Linked DNA regions of Rattus norvegicus. The protein of the gene in region 2 binds, or shares a complex with, the protein of the main gene of each other region. Links are inferred from orthologs where the notes say so. Each region holds a gene or a part of one and is shown on either strand. Other genes may lie near its edges.

Region 1 (5,966 bases), on a different chromosome or scaffold from region 2:
TAAGTGTGTCACATGCAGATCACATGTCACTCAACTTAAGACATCCCCATGGCTCTTTGTTCTGGAAACTGCTTCTTTCCACCAAGGGCCTGTGCCTGGAACTCTTCCCTACCCACCAACAAGACACATCCTTCACATTCTACTCACCCTTCAGATCTCCATGATTCACCTTCCTCCTGCAGCTCTACCTATATAAATGTCTGCAATTCTTGGACACTTCTGTGCTTGTCTTCATACTGATTGATCACCAGACTGCACCATTAAACGCCCACTCAATCTCTCAATCTATTTCCCCCTTGGCATGTAGTATTCCCAGAACCAAGCACTGCTCTCACTACACAGTTTGGTGTCTATCAGGTTAAGGCATCTATGGACAGTATAATATCCAGGATCCAGCAGACAATGAGCAAAGGTGACCCTAGTCTTTGTGAACACACTCCAGAAAAGTGATTATTCTCCCACACAGAGATCTTTACATCAACACAGAACTTTTCCAGGCTGGCCTAGAACTCATAGCAATCCTGCCAGTTTCCCAAGTACAAGGATTACAGACATAAGCAACCTCACCAGGTGAGACAAACAATTCTTAACAAAAATACTTCAAATAATTGCTTCAGTGAGGAAATGCCATAAGCAGTAGAGAAAGATCTGAAAGATATATTCAATTTTACAATGTTGGAGCCATTCCTCTTAACCTTTACAAACAAACACATTTTACTAATTGCAAACATAATTATCTAGACTCACAGGCTGGGCTATGTAGCAAGATGCAGGCCTCCCTGAGATACAATGAAATCTGTCTCAAAAAAACAAAAAACTAAGCCAAAAAATATTGGGGGAGGGGAGAGTACTACAATTCCACTGAACGTACAGACTTCCCTTTGCTGAGGTTCCCTAAACAGCACAGTCAGCAACTATTACAGAGCACTTCTGCTACGTTACATATTATTAGTAATCCAAATGTAACTCAAAGAACATGAAAGAAGGTATGCAGTTTACATGTAAATACTATGCCATTTTCCACAAAGGACCTGAGAAGCCAGTATGGTGACAAACTACCATTATTCCAACACTTGGGAGGCTGAGGCAACAAAATCACATGTTCTAGGCCACCAGGGCCACATCATAAGGCTTAATCTCAAACAAGGATAAGAAAAGAAAAAAAAAAGAGAAGAGAAGAGAGAGAAAGGAAGGAAAGAAAAGAAAGGGTAAAGGGAAGCAAAAATCTTAAGGCTTCTATATTTGTGGAAATTTGGGATCCTAAAACCCATCTGTAGGGATATCAAGATTGACTCAATCCCAATGTTAAATATGTAACTGCAAATATAAAAAACAGAGTCTCCAAACTTACTGGGATTCCTTGTAACTGTGGCTTATCTAGAAGATTGTGCAGTTCATTTCGAGAGGCTTCTATCTTTTCTCGATCTGCAGCATCTATCATGTAACTTAAGAAGAAAGCAAAGTGATCTCAATATGCTATCACTATAGTCTCAATAAACTACAGTTATAGATTTTACATTTCTCAAGACTTACAATACTGAAGACTGCTGGTGAACAGACATTACAAAACAAATTCTTTGAAGAAAAGGGAGCAAAAGGAAACAACAACAAAAGAGGCAACAACTTACACAATTGCATTGACGCCTCTGCAATACCGCTCCCACATGCTCCGGAACCGGGGCTGCCCTCCTATGTCCCAGATCTGTGATGAAAACAAGGCAGTTCTTAATAAAGATACATCATAGTCATTGATGAGGAAATCACAAAGACCTGCTTGGACAAATATGATAAAGTGATGCTTAATCACTATTAGCCAATACAGGCCTAATCATGGATCCACACAACTTTAGGATAACAAGCTTAACATCTACAAAACCACACAACGTCCAGATGTGGATGTCAAAACAAAACAGCAGCTTGTCTACTAAAGGTGAAGCGCATCATTTTGAATTGCTCTGTAAGTACCAGAGTCAACATTCCTTCCCTTAGAATTTCCCATAAAAATATCACTGTTCGGCCTGCTCTATTAGGCACTGTGCTATATATGGTTACATAAAACTCATGAAGACTGTTGTCAAAAGAGCCACAGAGAACTTAGCAAGCACATCTGTCAACAAGAACTGGGTAAAATGGTCTCTGGTTCAGGCTAGAGGCCTAAACTCGTAGAATTACAGAATGAAAGTAAGAGCTACAAGAAAAAGTTAAATCCCCTAACAGGAACTAAAAAGAAATTATACTAAAAATGAGCTATACTTTTTACACCTATTTTGGTTTCCACTTTAAGCTTAATAATGAAGAAAAAACTGAGTTACAATATCTACTACCAGAAATATACTGAGCTAAAATTAATGTAAGTAATTACCAACTTTCAATATAAAACATTACTCAGGCAGAACATGGGACTGTTATTTTCTGGAACTCTCAAGATATGTTACTTCTACTAACCCATATGGTAAGTTGACTTTTAAGGGCTTCTACAGTTAATCTCTTAAACACTTTAACCTATCAGAAAACATCAATAACTGATCTACAGTCTTTCAAAACATGTCATCCATTACTGGCAATTGTAAGTAGCAGGTAAAAGCAGAGAAAACAGAAATTTTTCTGATTACAATTTAAATCAATTATAAAAAGGACAATACATAACACACATGCATGCATGCATATATACATATAGACACATACATATGAATGCATACAACATACATGTAAAGTATAAGAATCCAACATACCTTTATTGTGACGTTACCTTTAGTTACTTTCCTCATGTTGAAGCCCACGGTGGGTATCATATCTTCACTGAATTGACCAGACTAAACAAAATAAAACATTTTAAATTAGATTAATTAATAATAAAGAATCATAACATTATATAATCTTCTAGTTATCAATATTGCATTTGTATCTATTTTTAAAATGGAAACATCTGATTTTTAAAAGGGTATTTTGGAACCAGGGAAGCACTTGCTAAATGGGCCTGGAAACCTGAGGTCCAATCTCAGAACCCACATAAAGGTGAAAGGTGAGGAATGACTCCCCAAAGTTCTTCTCTGACCTCCACATATGCACTTTGGTAAGCATACTACACACATACATACATACATACATACATACATACACACACACACACACACACACACACTACTAATAAGTGAATAAAAAAATATATTATTTTGAGGCAGACAGTACATCTCACATCTGTAATCCCAGAAGGAGGAGTGCTAAGGCAGAACAGCCACAGGTTTAAGAGCTGCCTGGCCTGGGCAACACCCCGTCTCAAAAGAAGGGCATTTTGGAAATGTACTGGTATTTCTTATAGATGTTCCTAAATTGAAAAGGGAAACTTTTGCCAAACACAGTAATATATATACCTTTGTGTCACAGGCATGTGTCTGTGAGTTCAAGGTCAGCCTATTCTCAACAGCCATCTCTAGGCCAAATAGGTCTATATATAAATAGAAATTGTGGGGGTTGGGGATTTAGCTCAGCGGTAGAGCACTTGCCTAGCAAGCGCAAGGCCCTGGGTTCGGTCCCCAGCTCCAAAAAAAAAAGAAAAAGAAAAAAAAAAAAAGAAAGTGTGAGGGGCAGCTGGGGAAACAGCTCAGCGCCTAAGAGCACTGCCTGCTCTTCCAGGCGGCCCAAGTTTGATTCCCAGAACCCACAGGGCAGCTCATAACCGTCTGTAACGTCATTCGGTCCCAAGGATTTGACGCCCTCTTTTGGTGCGTGTGAGCGCTATATGCATATGGTAGAGATACATTCTTGCTGGCAAAATACCCACACGCATAAAAGAAATCTTTTAAATGCAGAAGAGTTTTTACAGTATGACATGAAAATTTACAAATTCTCACTTCTCCACACATTTTCACAAAGAAATGAGAAGTCAAGAGGAAAACTTTATAGTTTTTTCTTCGGTAGCTAAACTGCTTTGGCAATAAATGTTAAAACTTAATGCTGAAACAAACAGTTCTGAGAAAAAATACTGAAGAGTAGATTATTTCAGTTTGTCTCTAATAGAACTAATAAAATGCACTTTAATTTAGAACTTCATTTTATGAATCAATCAATTTGTTCCCTTTTTGGCTTAATTTTAGTATCTGTGTTAAGACTAAAATTAGATGCTTTACAATAGTTTTATTAATATTTTACATTCAAAATGCTTATCCGGGGCCAGCAAGACAGCTCAGCGGGTATAGGCGCTTACCAACAAGCTTGAGAGAAAGCAGAGTTTTTTGTGAGTCATCTGAACACACACATGCATGTCATGGTACGCATACACATGCATGCAAACACTCAACACATAAATAAATGGAATACTTAATACTCCTCTCTTTGGAATTTGATTATGTACTTTCAGAAAGTTTCTATTTTCAACTGGACGACCAATAACCATTATATCTCACTGCTTTTAAATCTACCCTTTCCTAATTAGAAACGGCATGCTAAACATCATACAGAGAAAAATAAACATCTGGGTCCTCATTTTTTCCCATTATTGTGTATTTCTGAATAAACAGTAGATTTGTGTTGTAATATTACAATGTATCAAAGATTAAAAATTTAGAATGGTTTCAAATTGTCTTGATTCATCTCCCACATTCCAAAGAAATCTTACAAATTAGTAACTTTGTTAACACATCAGTCAGAATTATTGCTACCCTTTGTCAGTGTTCAGTATTTAATGGCTACCAAATCACTCCACAAAGCACCTGATTTACCCACTGGGTTATTATTCTAATCTTTTACAGCTTCTATACACTGTCATATTACTCAGGAGTCTCACATTCCACACCATATCCTCTGAACCACGGTCAATGCTAAATGGATGTGTTTCTATCCTAGACACTTTACCGACTAGAAGCTTTCTCAGTTGAACTTCCGAACTGGTCAACATGGTGCTGGTTAAACAACAGGACTACTCTCAAGAGACAACTCAAGCAAGTAAGATTTTTTTTTTCCTGTGAGGCCCCAACACTGGTTTATTGTGTACTGTGACTTTATGTCACCCACACCAGCATTCTATACTTTTAAGTTCTCAGCAACACGGACTCCAACTTTACAAATTCATTTCCTGTGCAGAACTCAGAAAGTTTTTTTTGTTTTGTTTTGGTTTCCTGTCAGTTCAGCAGTGTTCTGTTTGATCTAGAAAGTAAAAATTTAAGTAACTGAAATCATTACTTTCGAATATATACAACATCACTCTCGGAATTTTCACATAATATATGTTTGCTTGAAATAGTCTCACTAAATAGTTCCAGCTGACCCTAAACTTATGCAAATACTCCTGCCTCTCTCTACCTCCCAAAAGCTGGAATTACAGTCATAGAACTCTACATTCAGTCCATACAAATTACACATTAAAAAAAAAATCTAGTGCTAGTTGGGCCATGGTGGCATACGCCTTTAACCCCAGCACTTGAGAGGCAGAGGCAGTAGGATCTCTTTGAGTTCAAGGCTAGCCTGATCTATGCAGAAAGCAGCCAGAGCTACAAAATGATCCACTATCTCACAAACAACAAAACCTAGTGCTATCAAAATGATAGCATGATGTGCGACACACACATAAGCCCATGAAAAGATGTTTTACATCACTAGTCATTAGGGAAACACATTTTAAAACAAAGATAGTGTTGTAAAACATTAAGACAGCTACTAAGAAAATAAAGTTTAAAATTCAGAAAAGAAGTGTTTCTAGGCTGGATGTAAATACACCTGTAATCCCATCTTGACTTGGAAGCTAAGGCAGTAGAATCACAAATGTAAGGCCAAAGACTGAACTACACAGGTGGATCCTGTCTGAAAAACAGAAAGGAAGGTTGCAAAGAAGCTGAAACCTTTGCTGTGTACAGAGGGCAGGAGACTGTGTTACACAGCTGCTAGCAGAAACAGTGTGGGGCTCTTCAAAAGCCAACAATGGATCTCTGACATGCTACAGTCAGGATGCAGCTCGTGTCCCTAGAATTCAT
Region 2 (5,966 bases):
TTTTCACTCAAAACTTCAGAGTCCCTGTGTGGGATGGAATGGAGTGACCGGGCCCTCATGAGGAGAGGAGTAATCCTGGTGTTTCTCTCAGTTTTCCTTAAGAACCAAGCCACCAGGCTCCCTCTTGTGGTGGCCATGTAGGAAACCGGAAGGCACAGGAACTTCGAGGGACTTTCTCCTCCAGGCAGCAGTGCCATGGAACAGCCTAGGCCAACCTGGAGCTGATTCTTCTTGTGTGCGTGTGTGCGTGTGTGTGCGTGCGTGCGTGTGTGCGTGTGTGACCCAGACTGAGAGCCCCACCTACCTCTCACTGAAAGAGGGTCAGGGACAAGTCTCAGCAATATAACATCAATTTTATTTTAAAAAACAAAACCCAATCCACCTGACCTGTCTGTCCCTCAAGGGACCTAATAGAGACCTCAGGAAGGGCTAGCTCTGGCCAAGCAGGGGTAGGTTGTCAGGTGTCAAAGAAGACACTGTGCTCATGGACTCTGCTCCCTCTCTCAGCCCTTGTCTTTTGCTCCTGACAAGAGGAACAACTGATCTGTGGTCCTACGAGCTCTGCTGTACTTGAGGAAGAGGAAAGGCAGGGCTATGGACATGCAGGGCCCCTTTTAGCCATGGAGAGCTGCCGGCTGGGCCCAGGCTGTGCGAGACAGGCTGCTGTGCATGGGGTGGATTCGTGAGAGGGGGCATGCACAGATACCTAGTGCTCACGTTTCCCTGTGCAGTGGGGACAGTGTTCAAAAACGAACAAGGGTGGCTGGGCACTCAGGACCCCAGGGGGCCCTGACCATCCGCCCAGGCCCCTGACCCAAGAGAGGAAGACAGCACGCCCATCCTCCTGGTCTCTTTGCTCCCCCTTCAACGGATACTATCCTTCTCTCCGCCACCCTGAGCAGATGGTGAGGACTAAAGTGGTGGCCGGGGACACCAAGTGTCTACGGAGCCCACAGGGCTCAGACCGTCTGCCCCAGTGACCTCTAGTCACTACCATCGGGCAGGATGCCTGTGGTGCCAGGCACTGACTGAATTCCTCTCTCACGCCAGCCACACTAAGTGGTTCTGCCACCCCAAGGCAGGAGTGGGTTGTTGGCCCCTGGCTCTGAAACGCCATGGCGGCACACCACAGTGCAGAGGCTGGTCAGCACACCTCCTTCCCGCCTGCCCACAGGGTTGCCCAGCCTCAGCACCAGGGGTCCCGGGAGGCCCTGCCGCGGCAGAGGCTGTCGCTCCGCTGCCAGGCGCTGTGGATGAGGCTCAGGGCATCTTCAAATTTCTGCTTGATGGAAGCTTCATGGATTGCCTTGTGAGGAAGGTCTACCTGTTATGGACAAGCAGAAAGCACAAGGGCTGCAGGCTGCTTTCCCCACATAGCCCTTTGGGACATCTTCCGTGTTGTGAGTTTCCCCTCTGCTCGGCACACAGACCTCAAGGCCCAGCTCTCAGGTCTACTTGGGATTCACTGGGTGAGGGGATCTGTCCATGACTGTTTTCAGTTTCTAGCTCAGTTTCAAGCTGCCCCAGAATGACAGGGTGCAGGGAGCACCGTGCATAAAGCAGTACCTCTCCCTGGGTGTGGTGGCTCATGCCTTTGATCCCAGGAGCCAGACATAGATTTTTCCCTGTGAGTTCAAGACTAGCCAGAGCTGCATAGTAAGACCTTGTTTTAAAACCAAACCAAACAGAAGTCGCTACTTCTCCAGGGCTGCTCCTGCAGCTCTGGGAGGGGGAAGGGCCTGTCTTACATCTCACCAGGTCCGCCAAGAGTCCCACAGTGACTGGGACTCAGCTCAGGAATGGCAGCTCCTGGTGGTATTTTTAGTTTTGACAGACCTGTTGACAGTGGAGCTTGCTTTTTTTTTTTTAGCTCTAAGTTTCTGTCTGTCTAGAGTTGGTGACAAATTGCTGTCCTCAGAACCCTTGGTACCTGGTAGATGGCTTTCCACCCAGAGCTCAGGGCGGTCAGGAACCGGTCCAACTCGGAAGTGCAGCTCATGTAGATGACCCAGGGCTTCGGCAGCTGGGGGCTATCCTGGGAGAACTCCTAGGAGCAGCAGATTCTAGGTGAATATGCGGGGATTTCCTCCGGCAGAGCCTGTGCGCCCGTCCCTGCCCACTCACCAGGACACAGTACTCCTTGCCTAACTCAGTGGAGATAGCAGTGATGTCCGCCAGTCTGGCTGTGCCCAGGGAGCGGAAGAAGCTGGTTTGGCAATCTTCGTGGCATGTGAAGAGGCGGTCCTCCGTGATCACCAGACAGCAAGGGATACAGGGGCTGGGAGCTATGCCCTGGGGTATGACCTGGACATTGGCAGAAGGTGAGAGAGGCAGGTTGCTTCTCCAGGGTGGCCTGCACCAGGAATCCCCTGTAGAGTCTACCTCAGTAGTTTAATGGGGGTGCCATGGGGGTGGGGTAGTGGTCGGGGTGGGGTGGCGGTTGGGGCGGCCGCCTGGTGGTGGTGGCGGTTGGGGTGGGGGCGGACCAGGCTGGGCAGATGGTGGTGGGCGCAGATGGGCTTACTCCTTTGGATACGGCCTGGCAAAGATGTTGCATCCAGTCTGCCATCTCGGCCTCACTGTCGGCGCTTAGCTCCAGGCAAGGCCGGTCAGCCAGAATGACCTGGAAGGCGTGGGGCCGATCCGTGGTGTTGGATCTCCGGCAGCCACCGCACTGCTCCCCACTGGGCCAGAGGAAGAGCGTGAAATGGGAGGGCGGAGGCAGGAGTGGGAGACCCTAAGGTGGGCAGGGGTGTGCAGGTGTGCAGTCACTGGGCCTTGGGCTCTAGGGACATTTGCATATGCTTGGCTAGCCCACGGGTTTGTGTGTGTGTGTGTGTGTGTGTGTGTGTGTGTGTGTGTGTGTAAAACAGCCTCCCCCCCACCTTTTTTTCTTTTAAGACAGGGTGTGACGTAGCCCTATAGTAGAGGACGACCTGGAACTTCTGATCCTCCTGCTTCTATCCCACACTGGATTGGAAGTGAGCCACTCTATCTGACAACCAGTATTTCCAGAATTACCAAGAGCCCTTGGGGTTCCCAAAAATGGTGAGGAAAGAGTACAAAGCCACTCACTGCACCTGCTCAGAACCACTGCCCGCCCGCCCGCCCGCCCACTTCCTCCACAGCCCGCCCCTCATTGGCTGGAATTCCTGGGAAAGGGTTCCCTTTCCTAGGCTAAAGGGCACCTCCTTGTTCATCAGGCATCCCCAGCGCCTAACAGTTTGCAAAGCACAAGGCACTAGTCAGGGTTACAGGATAAGGTGAGGAGGTGAACGGAACCGCAAGCTTCAGACGCAGTCATAGCTGACCTCCACGCAGGGCACCCAGTCATGACACCTGCACAGTTCCCTTCTCCTGGGACACTTACCCCATGTTCACGGAGAGCAGGGGGATGACGTCAGTGCGATCAGGATACTGGTAGAGGATCCCATTGCTACAGGGTCACAGTTACAGTGAAGTGAGGCCTGGCTAAGGAGATCCCAGGAATTCCCTGTATACTGGCTGGGGACCAGGGACCCGCTTTCTATGGAGGGGTGAGGAAGGCATCTGAGCGTGGCTGTATAGAGAAGCTCTATATCTCTGGGTGACCCCACAGCGCGGTGGAAAAGGGGGCACCCGCCCTTGGGCCTTTCTCGCTAGGGACTTGACACCTGCCTGGGCCCACAGCTCCTGGGGCTCCCACCTGAGCACCACGAAGCAGGCCTTCCAGTGCTCTTTGCCCAGGTAGGAGGTGCTGGCCTTATAGTGGAGCATGCCTTCTTTGGTGATCGTGCCCTCAGCGGGTGAGCACTGGCAAGGAACAGGGCCCAGGGCCTCTTCCATGGGGTCCTCCCAGTGTACAAGTCCGTAGAAGTGCACGGTCACAGTGGATGCCTGGGGGTGGAGGCAACAGACCAAGTAGGTGAGGCCTTGGCAGAGCGGAGGTCAAGCCTCAGCTTACCCATAACCCAGTTCCACTTCCCATGAGGTGACTGGGAAACACCTCGGGCGTAACTAAGTTAGTCTTTTTTTTTTTTTTTTTTTTTTTTCTAAGTTAGTCTTAAAACCAGGGCAGGCCAGTGGAGTGTCACTGGGTCTCCTCACCAGCTACTAACCTCACATTTGGATTCCTGGGCGACAAATTTTGCCAGCGCCAGCCTCTCCATGGTGGCATCAGTCAAGACGCTGGGGTAGGGTGGTTCCCGGCAACCTTTGATCATGGCTGACTTCAGAGACGCCAAGAACAGCCTGTTCGGGGAGCACAGTTTGCTGTCAGAGGACAGGTCCTGGGGATAGGTCCTTGGCTTTGTCCTGAGAATGCCTGGCCATTAGAGCTCACAAGAAATAGGGGCTGAGGGTGCTGGGCAGCAGCAGGCAATGATGGGGTCAGAGCCATGCACGACAGAAAAGGCCTGACCATCCCTAATGTCCAAGTAGCCTTGGATTCTGACAGTAGGCTACCCGGACAGCTGGACAGTAGGATCCAACCACTCCAATATAGGAATAGAAATGACCTTCTCACTTGGGATCCCCATGTCCGTAGTCCAGGACACACCCGGACAGCAGCCCAGCTCTTGTGCCTCCCCTCCCGTTGGACCTCACACCAGCCCCCGTCCTCTCCGTGGGTCCTGAGGGGCTGAGGTCACCTGAGCTGACGTGAGTCAGTCGGTCAGTGACTGTCCACTTCCCTGCCTCTCTGAGCAGGCCGCAGGCTCTTGGGGGAACAGATTGGTGTCTCCTTCTACCCCCAGCCAGGGCCATGCCCATGGCAGATGCTGATTCTCCTGTCCTGTTGGGGGGCAGGGGCTGACACTCACTCAGCCAGGGCCACGTCGGCCGTGTCCAGCAGAAACTGCTTCCTGCGGTTGGTGCACACCAGCTTGACAGTCTGTTGGTCCAGGCCAACCTGCCAGAAAACACACAGGACTTGGCCACCGCCCGGCAGGAGGAGCGTGCGTACTAAGGGTTGGCTGGGACTGGGAAGGGAGAAACCGCATGTTTGGGGTCACTACTAAAGCCTCTGACCAAGACTAGGGTCTGGATGAGTTAGGGAAGATGGTCAGAGATCTAGTGCGGGAAGAGGTATCTTCACCCTTAACTCCCGTCTCCAGCACAAGTACAGAAGCCTCTGTAGACGTTGGCACCTGTCGCCTGCGTGCTACAGCTCTAGGCAGGGGTAGCCTGAGAAGCCCTGTACTTCCGTGGGCACACCAACTGCAGAGCCTGCACTCACCGACACATAGTCAAGTTCATTGTAAGAAACAGCCTCTTCCACCAGGTATGGCTTTTCTGTGGCCCCTGAGAGAGGAGACCGGAATGCCTATTACTCTCGCTGGCCTCTTGCCCCTCCCCACACCCCCCCCAGGCCCATTTTCAGAGACCCAGCCCTTCTTGCCCTGCAAAAGGAAGTGATGGTGTAGCAGAATGACAGACAGGGTGCTCAGCCCAGCTAGCAATACCTCCCTCCGGACGCTTCGTTATTAATTCAAGCCTACGGTGGGGGTTGGGAAGGAGCCCGGCCCCACCCACCCTGGCATCGGGTGGCAGGCACCTTTCCGAAGCAGGTAGACATAGCAGTCTGTGAGTAGCACGTAGAGCAGCTGTAGGTTACCCTCCATGTGCCCTGTGCTCATCCGGATCATCTAGGGGCCGAGGCAAACCGTGATCAGCTTGAGTTCCCGCCCCGTGGGACCCGCATGCGCACTGAACAGTGTGGGCGACTCAACCCGCCTTTCCGTGCCGCTTGATGGTTCCCCGGTTTGGTTCCGGGACTTACTTTGAACAACTGTTCTTCATTTTCTCGAAAGACGTGAATCATGAGTAGGAGCAAGTGGTTGTTGTCTACTCTGTGTCAGGAACAAGGGTAGGGAGGAGCAGGGGTCAGGCAGGAGGTCACCTTCCTTTCCACCTCCCACAGCAGGCTAGACCAGCCGTCCCTGATGGACTGCAGATCCTGCACACAGCCCTCACCTGAACTCTGAGGG

What was found. The genes of interacting proteins can lie anywhere in the genome.
Region 1: the proteins of Plekhm2 (region 2) and Arl8b are in contact, whole or in part, in a crystal structure (PDB 8JCA), measured with the Homo sapiens proteins. The link is inferred for Rattus norvegicus from reciprocal best matches to the Homo sapiens genes PLEKHM2 and ARL8B. Residues at the interface, in NP_055979.2 of Homo sapiens: His70, Phe71, Thr72, Arg73, Arg74, Glu75, Glu103, Ser105, Glu107, Ser108, Tyr109, Arg111, Leu112, Glu115, Glu147, Phe148; in NP_060654.1 of Homo sapiens: Glu22, Thr52, Val53, Gly54, Phe55, Asn56, Met57, Lys68, Trp70, Arg77, Phe78, Arg84, Tyr85, Arg87, Gly88, Val89.

Annotation. Positions count from the first base shown.
Region 1 is NC_086022.1:143,334,519-143,340,484, reverse strand, and holds part of Arl8b (ADP-ribosylation factor-like protein 8B), read right to left. Parts: intron 2,814-5,966; coding exon 2,733-2,813; intron 1,703-2,732; coding exon 1,629-1,702; intron 1,446-1,628; coding exon 1,352-1,445; intron 1-1,351. UniProt on the Homo sapiens protein: Small GTPase which cycles between active GTP-bound and inactive GDP-bound states.
Region 2 is NC_086023.1:159,222,286-159,228,251, forward strand, and holds the end of Plekhm2 (pleckstrin homology domain-containing family M member 2), read right to left. Parts: coding exon 5,953-5,966; intron 5,829-5,952; coding exon 5,759-5,828; intron 5,625-5,758; coding exon 5,534-5,624; intron 5,281-5,533; coding exon 5,216-5,280; intron 4,889-5,215; coding exon 4,800-4,888; intron 4,231-4,799; coding exon 4,098-4,230; intron 3,877-4,097; coding exon 3,686-3,876; intron 3,437-3,685; coding exon 3,371-3,436; intron 2,685-3,370; coding exon 2,525-2,684; intron 2,305-2,524; coding exon 2,125-2,304; intron 2,048-2,124; coding exon 1,931-2,047; intron 1,325-1,930; coding exon 1,187-1,324; 3' UTR 1,015-1,186; downstream 1-1,014. UniProt on the Homo sapiens protein: Plays a role in lysosomes movement and localization at the cell periphery acting as an effector of ARL8B.